Linked DNA regions of Drosophila melanogaster. The protein of the gene in region 2 interacts with the protein of the main gene of each other region in a pairwise test. Each region holds a gene or a part of one and is shown on either strand. Other genes may lie near its edges.

Evidence for each region. The genes of interacting proteins can lie anywhere in the genome.
Region 1: the proteins of Roe1 (region 2) and CG17574 interact in a two-hybrid assay, tested with the Drosophila melanogaster proteins (one large-scale study listed by BioGRID).

Annotation. Positions count from the first base shown.
Region 1 is NT_033778.4:12,848,831-12,855,156, reverse strand, and holds CG17574 (uncharacterized protein), read left to right. Parts: upstream 1-1,616; 5' UTR 1,617-1,674; coding exon 1,675-1,834; intron 1,835-3,574; exon of another isoform or gene 3,575-3,588; coding exon of another isoform or gene 3,589-3,709; intron 3,710-3,813; exon of another isoform or gene 3,814-3,886; coding exon of another isoform or gene 3,887-3,992; intron 3,993-4,208; exon of another isoform or gene 4,209-4,255; coding exon of another isoform or gene 4,256-4,382; intron 4,383-4,928; coding exon 4,929-5,058; intron 5,059-5,115; coding exon of another isoform or gene 5,116-5,118; coding exon 5,119-5,196; intron 5,197-5,260; coding exon 5,261-5,420; 3' UTR 5,421-5,799; downstream 5,800-6,326. Other genes in the region: CG30486 (uncharacterized protein), read left to right, coding at 6,192-6,314.
Region 2 is NT_033778.4:13,552,455-13,556,142, forward strand, and holds Roe1 (Roe1), read left to right. Parts: upstream 1-1,622; 5' UTR 1,623-1,726; coding exon 1,727-1,812; intron 1,813-1,932; coding exon 1,933-2,227; intron 2,228-2,572; coding exon 2,573-2,833; 3' UTR 2,834-3,152; downstream 3,153-3,688. Other genes in the region: link, read left to right, coding at 3,534-3,688. UniProt on the Drosophila melanogaster protein: Essential component of the PAM complex, a complex required for the translocation of transit peptide-containing proteins from the inner membrane into the mitochondrial matrix in an ATP-dependent manner.

The DNA of each region.
Region 1 (6,326 bases), 700 kb from region 2:
CGTGGCAATGATCATAGGATACGTGATCCGCAAAAGGAAACAGCGCCTGGCGGGCAAGGATGTGATTGAAGCAAGTTAGTATAGTTCGATGCAGAAATCCTTTGTTGCTGTCCTGTGTTCTTCCCAATTGTCAGATGACGAAGCTCCGTGTGTGAAGTTCCTGTGTCTTGTTTTGTTCAACAAAATGGAGAACGGAGAACAATCTATTTAATTTTTTATGTTTAACTACTTAGTTTCGTTATTTATTACATGGTTGTAACACTACAAGATTGCCGAATCAACTGCTTAATAAATAAGAAAGTTTACAAAAACGACGACATTCAAAGTTTAAGAAAATTACTTTATATATAGTAGCTTTCTTTTCGTAAACAAAAAAAAAGTGGATACACTATTTGCCTTTGCTAAGAACTTAAAATATATGTTTTATTTAATTCTGATGTGAACAGAACATTAAGAACAAGATTTAAAAAAAAAGCGGATGCAGCCACTATAAGTCGTTTACAACATTTAAGCGTACTCAAAAAAATAATGGTACTTTTTAAGAATGTGGTACTGAAAAAATAATTTTATTTTTTTATTGCTTCCATGATTTTAATTTTCTACAAATTTTGGTTAAATATTTTGATTCATTCGGTGCATTAACGCTATGTTGCTGTTTTACTACGTTCTTAGTAATTTAGAAAAGTTTAAAAAACTTCTATTCAAAGGTCATAATTTTTGATATACACATAGAAAAGTAATGAAATCTTTTAAACTTTTTTGAGTGCGGCTTAGTGAGTAATGATTATTCTAATCAAATTTTTAAGCGAATGGTGGTATTTACCTTTTGTATATTATGCGTATGAGTAATTATTTAAAGTGATTTAAGATTTTAGTTTCTTTGCTCCTTTCGTTCGGATCGGTAGGGATTTGGAATTTAGCAAAATTTGACCAATAATGGCAAAATATACTTCAATCGCAGTTTTCTTCAATGTATTGTTTTTGTACTGCATTTACCTCTGCTCGATCGTAAAGTTTCCTTTTTTGTCAGCCTATTATAATTTCAAATAATTCAATCATCTTCGGTGTAATATTGTAGTTCATAGTAGTTGTCACTGCTTTCATTGGGAAATGGAGTGTAATTCTGACTCATAGTGACTAAATCATAAATTTCAAATCGATCGCAAATTTGTTTTTTTTATTGAACTACGTACTTGTTGTGCGTTGTAAATCTTAATAAATGTATTATACATTTGAGACCATTTATGATGTCACATATCAAAGACTCTATAAGCAGATGGAAAGACAAAGAAGACAAGAATTTATATTTATTGGGTATTTTAGCGGCTTCTGGTTGGTTATGCCTAAAAGTACGCTGCAAAAATGTGCGAATGGTTCACTAAATTACTAAAATTAAACAAAGAGCTAAGTAGTACTTGTTTCATCCATACTTGTTAAATACTGAAAATCCAGCTGGTTATATAAGTTTTCTGTATTCTGGATAAATATTTTACACACAGTCTAAACGATAACATGCATATTTTTTTTCGTCCGCTTTTTCTTATCGTAATAAAAAGGGCTTAGTGAATTGAATTTTTTCCCAGATTCAGTCCAAAAAGATCTGAGCTTAGACACACAGTTCGACCAGTTCATTTACTCAGTTCGTTGCAGTCAAACGTGTTTACTAGAAAAAAGATGCCTCCTTTAGAATTCCCACCGCCACCTAAATACGATGCTCCAAGTGTCGATAAACTTCCTGAAGCGGGTGCCAGATTAATAGCAATCATTTTTATGCTTTTTATCTGGGGCTATTGCAAGTGTTGTTGTTCTTGTTGTAAACGCAATAAGACGGAAGGTAAGAGCAATTCTTAACGTATCTGTACGATAAGCCAACTCTCTTATTTCAGCATCTATTAACACTCACAGATAATTGCAGTTTCAGATAGTTATCTTAGTCTATAGGTCGCGTTTGCAGTGCAATCATGAATTTTCTTTTTGTGAATGTTTTCAATTCGAATTCAAATGAAGACGACTTTAGTTTGATTATAGTGTTTGCGATTTTTGTATTGACCATTTGTATTGGGGCCATTTGTATATGCCTACGATTAAAAATTGGAAAGGAGATTAAAAACTGTAAAGGTTGGTAACCCATTATTAAGATACCGTACTTATTATTTTTATGCTGCTGTCTGCTTTAAAAAGAGACACATCTTAATGAATCAAAAATTTCCGCTTTATGTAGTTAGATCAAGTGGCATGTAGTTATTTTATAATTATAATTTTTAATGATAAAATTAACAACATTTTGAAACTATTCTGCGTATTGTCCACTTTGAGTCACTTTGTTCATTATTGCCACATGTAAATAGAGGTAAAAACTCACATGATAGCGGTATCTGCATCTAATACACTGAAAAACTTGTTTTTCTAATTAAATCCATTACTCGAAGACGTCATTCAAAGCGTCTGCATTAGATTTCCTAACTTGATCTTGTAAATTGATAAATATATGATAATAATGGGTATTGCCCAAGGTTTAGTGCTTTTGCTTCCTATCTGCACTGTCAATTTTATTTATGGTTCAAATATTCAAGTCATTGTCTAGAAGAAATTTTGGATTGTGTGCGAATTTAGTTCTTTAGCTAGAAGTAAAGTCTTTTGCATGAGAAATCCGAGTTAATATTAAAAGATGTAAGACATATTTAAGGCTTTTAATTTCCCCTCCAAATACAATTAAAAATAATTTCTTATCCAGTATCCTAAACTTTAAAAGCCTCTGTTGTGAAATAGTCCGGCTATCTTGGTATACTGAGATTTAGGACTTGGTTTGGAGTGGGTAATGACTGGGTGTTATTGTTATATTTGTGCAATATATGCTGATAACAACGACTGTGATTCCCTACTATTTCGGATTCCATTTCCAAATGTGCCACTAAATGCTTCGTTTACGCCTAAACGCAAATCAATAATTAGGTATTAATGGCTAATGGTCATAAAGGATTGAGTGTTGACGTACGTTGATCCCGAAATGCAGGGTAATTCAGAAAATGATTATGAAACCCATTTAGTTAGGTCGCAGGTCCTCACGATGAATGCCACCATATTGGATGTGTTTGAGGACATTTCCCAGCGACTGCACATAAACTGGACATTTCTGGCATACGAAGCTTGTATCCTCACGGTTTTGGTTGCCCTTGTTGTGATATATGCCTTAAATCTTGCTCGAAATCCGGAAGACTTTCGATATTGGAACAATTTGTAAACGTATTCCCGAAATGAATAACGAAACGGAGGTCAGCTCCTTGCTGGAGTCCCAGGAACGCTCTGTGGTTTTCATATCCGTTTTTCGCATAACCTTCAAAATATTCATTTTGGCATTGATCGGCCTGGTTGCACTACATTGGAAGCGTCGTCAGGCTCTCGGTGATTTAAGTAAGTTATGATAATGGTTGAAAGTGTACTGTTATCACTGATAAGTGCTATCTTTATGAGTGTGATTGCCCTTTTCTTTGGCCATTACTGGCACTTTTTCGATTGCCAATCCGGCGGCTTTAGTTTCTCGCTTTTGTTTAGTCTTTGTGCACCGCTTATTCAGTCAGTATCATAATCATGGATGATTCGGGCATCTACTGGATACTTTTCTTCACCTTCTCCGTATTTTTCATGACATCCGCGGCTGTATTTCTGACCCGTGGTCGAACCCGGAGAGCGGCGCTCACCAAGGGTGCAGGTGTGTTTTCGGGGATCACCCGTTTGTGGCGATAACGCGGCCGTCCAATGGGTTTCCAATATCTCCCATTTACACAAAAAAAAAAAAAAAACACAAAAACCCCAATGTCATGAAACAGTTGAAATCGTGAACTCCACGCTGTAGCACCAGTTCAGCGTGTATAGAATAATATTCGCGATGGAGCCGTTTGTTATTCCCATCATAGCAGTCTCAGTCTTCATAGTGATTGCCTCGTTGATGTGCCTCTGCTTCTTTTGCATAGCCAAGAAGTTCAGATCCATGGGTAAATAGCTGCAGCTACGGGAAGAGTTATTTATGTTTTATGATTTATGTAATTTTGAAGCTGTTTCGTACTGCCAATATCAGAGATAAACAAAACCATAATGCAAGTACACCACCCGCTTATCGTATTGGCCATAAAATCGAACATTGATTAGACGCGGTCCGAGTGAGTGGGTTTTGTCAGACATAGGACTTGCAGTCTGTTCTGTGTTCGCCTGGAAAGCGATTGTGTTTTTTCGAGCTAAATTCCCTGACTTATCGAGAATGTGGGCATTCTGGGTTGGATTATCTATAGCCTTTGCCATATTTTTCATTACTTCCTTCGTTGTTTGCATTAGACGCAGGCAGAAAGCAGCGCGAAATGTTGGCTACACAATCAGCGAAGGCGTTGGTAATTACATTGACTGAGCAATGAATGGATTGCCAATTACACTTAAAGAAATAGTGGTGCAGCAAATTTTGTTGAGCCTTATCTTATTTGTCTAAGTGTGAAGTATTTTCTTATTCTTGGTTTTCGATACAGGCAGTATATGTTTTAAAAATATTTTTTATATTAATTATAACACAAAATGTATTTATAGTGCATATAAACGTGACACGGGCTTGTTATTACCCTTTTCTATAAATAAATTGAGTGGATAAGATTAAAAGCTCAAAAAAAAAAAAAAGCACAGAAATTACACCAAAAAAACCCCAAATGAAATTAAAAAAGCAAAATATAATATACATCAAGTTTTTATGACTTACATTAATTTAGATTAATATAATATTGAAAATTTTTTATAGTGCTGAAAGGGGAATTTTTGTTCACACTGATGAGTCTAATCAAAAGTGGGAGCTTATCGAGTCTGCGATTCGCGGTTGGCGATGATTCAGAATCATTGGCGCAGCTATTTTCTGTTTCTAATTTCTTTTTTTCCGTTCTTTCTACTTTCAGCGCCTGTGGTGGTGACCTCCGCCACCCACACGGCTCCCGGCGGATATCCGGTCACACAGCTGCCTCCGCCGGGCTATCCATCGAGCAATGCCTACGTAACTGCGACCTCGTACCCCGTACAGACCACCGGGTAAGTACGGAGCCTAAAGTGCTGCCGCAAACTATTCTAATGTCCCCATTTTCCCAGCAGCAACGTGACTGTGCAGATGCCCATGCCGATGAGCCACCAGAACCAGCAGCAAATGCCAATGCCTATGCCGATGCCGGGGTAAGTGGAAGCTAGTGCTCCAGCGAAACGCAAATATTAATTGATATGCTTTTATCCATTGCAGTCAGCAAACGCATGGCGTGGCGTATCCGACGTATCCTGGCGCCGGGGCTGCCAACATGAATCCGCCGCCGTATGACATGTCCATGGCTAATCCAGGACCTAGTGTTATGCCCGCTGGATATGAGAAGCAAGCTCCCTACAATCCCCACTTTGGCCAGTGAAATCGCACTGTGAACTGAGGATCCCCTTTCCGTCTCGTTATAGCTTTTTTACTCAGCTGAACACTTTACTTTCCATGTTTTCTTGCATAAAAAACTCCAAACTCCTGGTAAAAAACCAAGTGAAAGCGATCGCACAACGAGCCATTTTTATATTCCATGTGATGTATGTAAAGTGTACATATAACTTAAGCGCAACCTTCTATTTATACATCTATATTAAGCAAATCCAAAACGAAAACCAAACTGAACTACATGAAGTGTTAATTGTAATAAACCAGTGAAGTGCACATCAAATGCAACTGAAGCACATTTGTTTCGATGTGCACTTTCACAAAATCACAAAAACAAGAAATGCAAACATGTTTTCAATTACTTCTGCACTCGGATGTTTTTGCCAATGAAAAAGCAGTGGGTAAATGGGTTTCTAAAGATTACTAGTGGATTTACATTCCAATCGAAAGTTTTTATTTATTATTTTCTTAGTTGAGATGCGCAATTATGTTTTATGTTTTTATTACCTTGATTTAATTGAGTCATGCGAAATTCCAATGTTTTACACATATTGTAAATTTTATATCTTAATAATAACCTTCTAGCTTTTTGGATTCCTTGTTGAATATGGCTGTCTGTTGGAAATAAAACTAGTAATAGCTCTATATATTATAGAATTGTCACGCTGCATTTAGGCAGTTACAATGGATTTTACGCTGTATAGATAGATCAGTTTTCTTCAAAATAGTTTTGTATTTTGACTCCAGCAATCGGCACCAGATGTTGTACCTTCTTTCAGTCCTTATAATAGTCCTTATCAGCCAGGAGGCGTTATCTACGGATTACTGCAACAAGGATCTGTGTCTGCCGGAAATAACGCATATCGCTTGCCGCAATTATGGCGTAAGTTTGGCT
Region 2 (3,688 bases):
AGTCGATTAAATAATCGATAGCATCGATTTCTTGGCCCATCGCGAAAGTAAGCGCGAAATTTAAAAACCCAACGGATGTCTTCACCTTCGTCATTCAGAAGAGCATTCGTCATTCATAATTAATGTCGACAAAGGAGTGTACTTGGCATTGCAAATTAGTCAGGCACGTGAAAACACCATTTTTATTTTTAGCCTAATTTGTACGTGTTTTTGAGTGCTTTTAACCTCTCAAACAAACATTTTTGTTGTTTATTTTTAGAACCGCTTATAAACAATATACAACTATATGGCGGAGAAATGGCATTGTGTGAAAAACTTTAATTAGATCTAAGAATATCATTTAATATATTGTTTTTTAATGTGTTTTTATTGCACAGATAGCTATTAATAGCACTTGGAATCTTTCTTTAATAGGAAATCTACTATAGACACTGTTGAAACTAGCTTTAGCTGTAGTTTTTGTATAAAACCTAGTCTAAACTACATGTTTACTATGTTTACCTCTTTATTTCCCTTCCTGTGAAGCTTTCTTAGTCCACCCACCTGAATTGTTTACGCCTCTCACTCAAATCCAGGACTCTTCTCAATGGCTTGGGTGAGTTGCCCGGCGACGTGGCTGCCGCTCCATCATTTTCCTCCTCCAGAGAACTGGACACCGAGGTACTTGCCACCATTTGGAGGGCCAATTGGAGATCCTCCTCACGCATTTTTTGTTGTTTTTTTTTATTGGAAAAGTATGAAAAAAAAACCGAGTTTTGAGACGACAACCTCGTTGTTCCGGTGGCGAGATCCAACTAAGTGACTTCTCGTGCTTCGTTTTCCAAAATATATACAATGCATGCGCATATGTAATACTTGGCAGTGCGATCGGAGAGGTAAGTTGTTGAATAGATGCTATGCCCGCCTCGTACACTCGTACTTTGAATTCATTAAGAGCCTTCCGATATTTACATTTCCAGAGCAACTTTTTTCGAGCGGTCCATATTTTGGCGGCCCCGGGGCGTGGCCGATCTGGTATGAGATCGATTTATAAGCTATGCGTGGATTAATAGCCGGTGGCGCACTCTTAATAATATATGTCCGAAGGTAGCGCCAAGAATATAGGCCCATTTTTGCATTAACACCGATCGATTTTAAGTGGACCTGCGCCTGCCAATATTGTCGATACACATTTTCACATTTTTATATGCCATTTGCATATTCCGTTTGTCCATTTTATATAAGAAATATTTTGTCGCTTTAAATTTGTATTTATGACCAAGGTGAATTCTCAGGGGTGTCAGGAACTACTGATCAAGTAGGGATTTCTTTATTAATAATAATTGTTTGTTTATTGCATTTTTGGGTTTAAGTGTGTAAAGTGGTAAAATTTCATACATTTTTGATTTCATTTTGGTAATATTGATGCTATTTAAATATTTATTTATTACTTGCACCGATTTCCTTCTTAATTTATTTTTAAGTATTTTAGTTATATAAAGAGATTTTCTTTGGATTTAATGTAAATAATTTTTTACATGAATGAATCCGAGCTTACATCTATTCTACATCCGACTTGACTGTTGCATTCTACAGCTGCGCTGCGGTCACACTAAGCGGCAACACCGGGTGGAATCGATAAACAATTACTATCGAACACACATCGATTGTTGAGAGAGCTGTGAAGCCGACGATTTTACGTCAAAAGCGGAATAAGTTTATTTAACGTACGAAAAAGCTAAGCATAATGTCAGCAAAGGCAGCCTTACCACTGCAGATGTTTGGCCGGCGACTCGTCCACCTGAGGTCATCGGTCACTTCTCAAAATATGAGGTAATTCCGGTTGCATTGCTTCCTCTTATCTGTGACGTAATGAGGGCGCACGTTTGTCGTTTCGCATGTAATTCTAACATTGCCTCCCGTCTCACTCCCAATCGTCTACCACACAACCAGTGCCCTGCGTTTGTACAGCACAGAGAAACAGCCGGAAGAAGCGACAGAGCAGAAGGCCACCGAATCGTCGCCAGAAGTTGAGAAACTCACCAAGGAACTGGCCGCCGCCAAGGAGCAGAATGCCGAGCTAATGGACAAATACAAGCGTTCGCTAGCCGACAGCGAAAACATGAGGAACCGACTGAACAAACAGATCAGCGACGCCAAGATCTTTGGCATCCAGAGCTTCTGCAAGGATCTGCTCGAGGTGGCGGACACACTGGGACATGCCACACAGGCGGTGCCCAAGGATAAGGTACAAACTATCTTATCTTAAGATTTAAGGTTTAAGGTATCTTAAGGATTCAGACTCGCAATGAAGTTGCATATGTTGAGATAAGAATTTCGTAATTATTTGTTGCCAATACTTGAAAATCTTCATAGCATTTTAAGGTGTATTTTCCCGATCTTTCCATTTCTATCTGAGAGATAACAAACCCGATTGCATTACATACATCTAATTGTACATATAGATTTGTTGGGGTATTTTAAATTGAGATATTTGGATAACTTGTTAGCCATTTTAGACTTAATAGATAGTTTAATCGTTTTGCATTAACATTCTTAAAGCTACCCTTACTAATGATCTTAATTATTGCAGCTCAGCGGCAATGCTGATTTGAAGAACCTGTACGAGGGCCTCACCATGACGCGCGCCTCGCTGCTGCAGGTGTTCAAGCGACACGGACTGGAGCCACTGGATCCCATCAACCAGAAGTTCGACCCCAATCAGCACGAGGCGCTGTTCCAGAAGGAGGACAAGACCGTCGAGCCCAACACCGTGGTGGAGGTGACCAAGCTGGGCTACAAACTGCACGAGCGTTGCATACGTCCGGCCTTGGTGGGCGTGTCGAAGTGTTGATAGCCATGCGGCTGCCCAGAGGCATGTAAAATTCCCAGTACTCCCCCCCCCCCCCTAAACCAATTTACATGGCGTGTGTCTCTCAATTGTTTGCAATTTGTTTTCCGCTGCAAAATTCATGTACGTAAACCCTGTGTAAATACAACCTATCCCACAAACGCATCCTTCGGGCAAAGCTTGCGAATTTAGAATTCCTCCTAGTTTCTAAGAGATCTGTGACTGGATTTGATGGCCACAATTTGTACCATACGCGTGGCCATCGAGTGTTCCACTTTAAGGTTTAATTACGATAATAAAACATGTTTTAGTTTGTTGAAATATACCACGGAAATTTGTATTTCATCCTCATCTGGAGGAGACTCTGTTTATCTAGGTCTCTTTTTAGTTTCCTTTGATTTTCCCCGTTTTCCTTAGCCCTTGAAATTCGAATCCCTCATGAAAAACCATTTCTTTTGTTAACAAAAACCAGGTAGCGAAGCGTAATCGCATTCCTGCTCGTCGCGTAGGTGGAAAATTCAATGGAAATGCGTGATTTTCTATGACCCAGCAGGTAGGCTTCCAAGCACGTTCCCATGAATTCAGAGGTAGCACAGATGGTGGGTTCCCTAAAACGAGATTTGCGCCAGAGTTGAAAGTCTACTTCAAACGGTTTTGAACTATCTCGTTGGTTAGTTGTCCTTAAACATTTGAAGTGAACGGTATGATTGGTGTGCTAATGCGTTTTCTCTGGTCCTTGGCCATGGTGCAGTGCATCCAGGCTAGAGTGTCGATGCTGCCTCGTTTTTATGGACAAGACAGCGCTGTTATAGTGGACATCAATAGAAAATTCCCACCTAGAATGGACTCCAAGCTGCA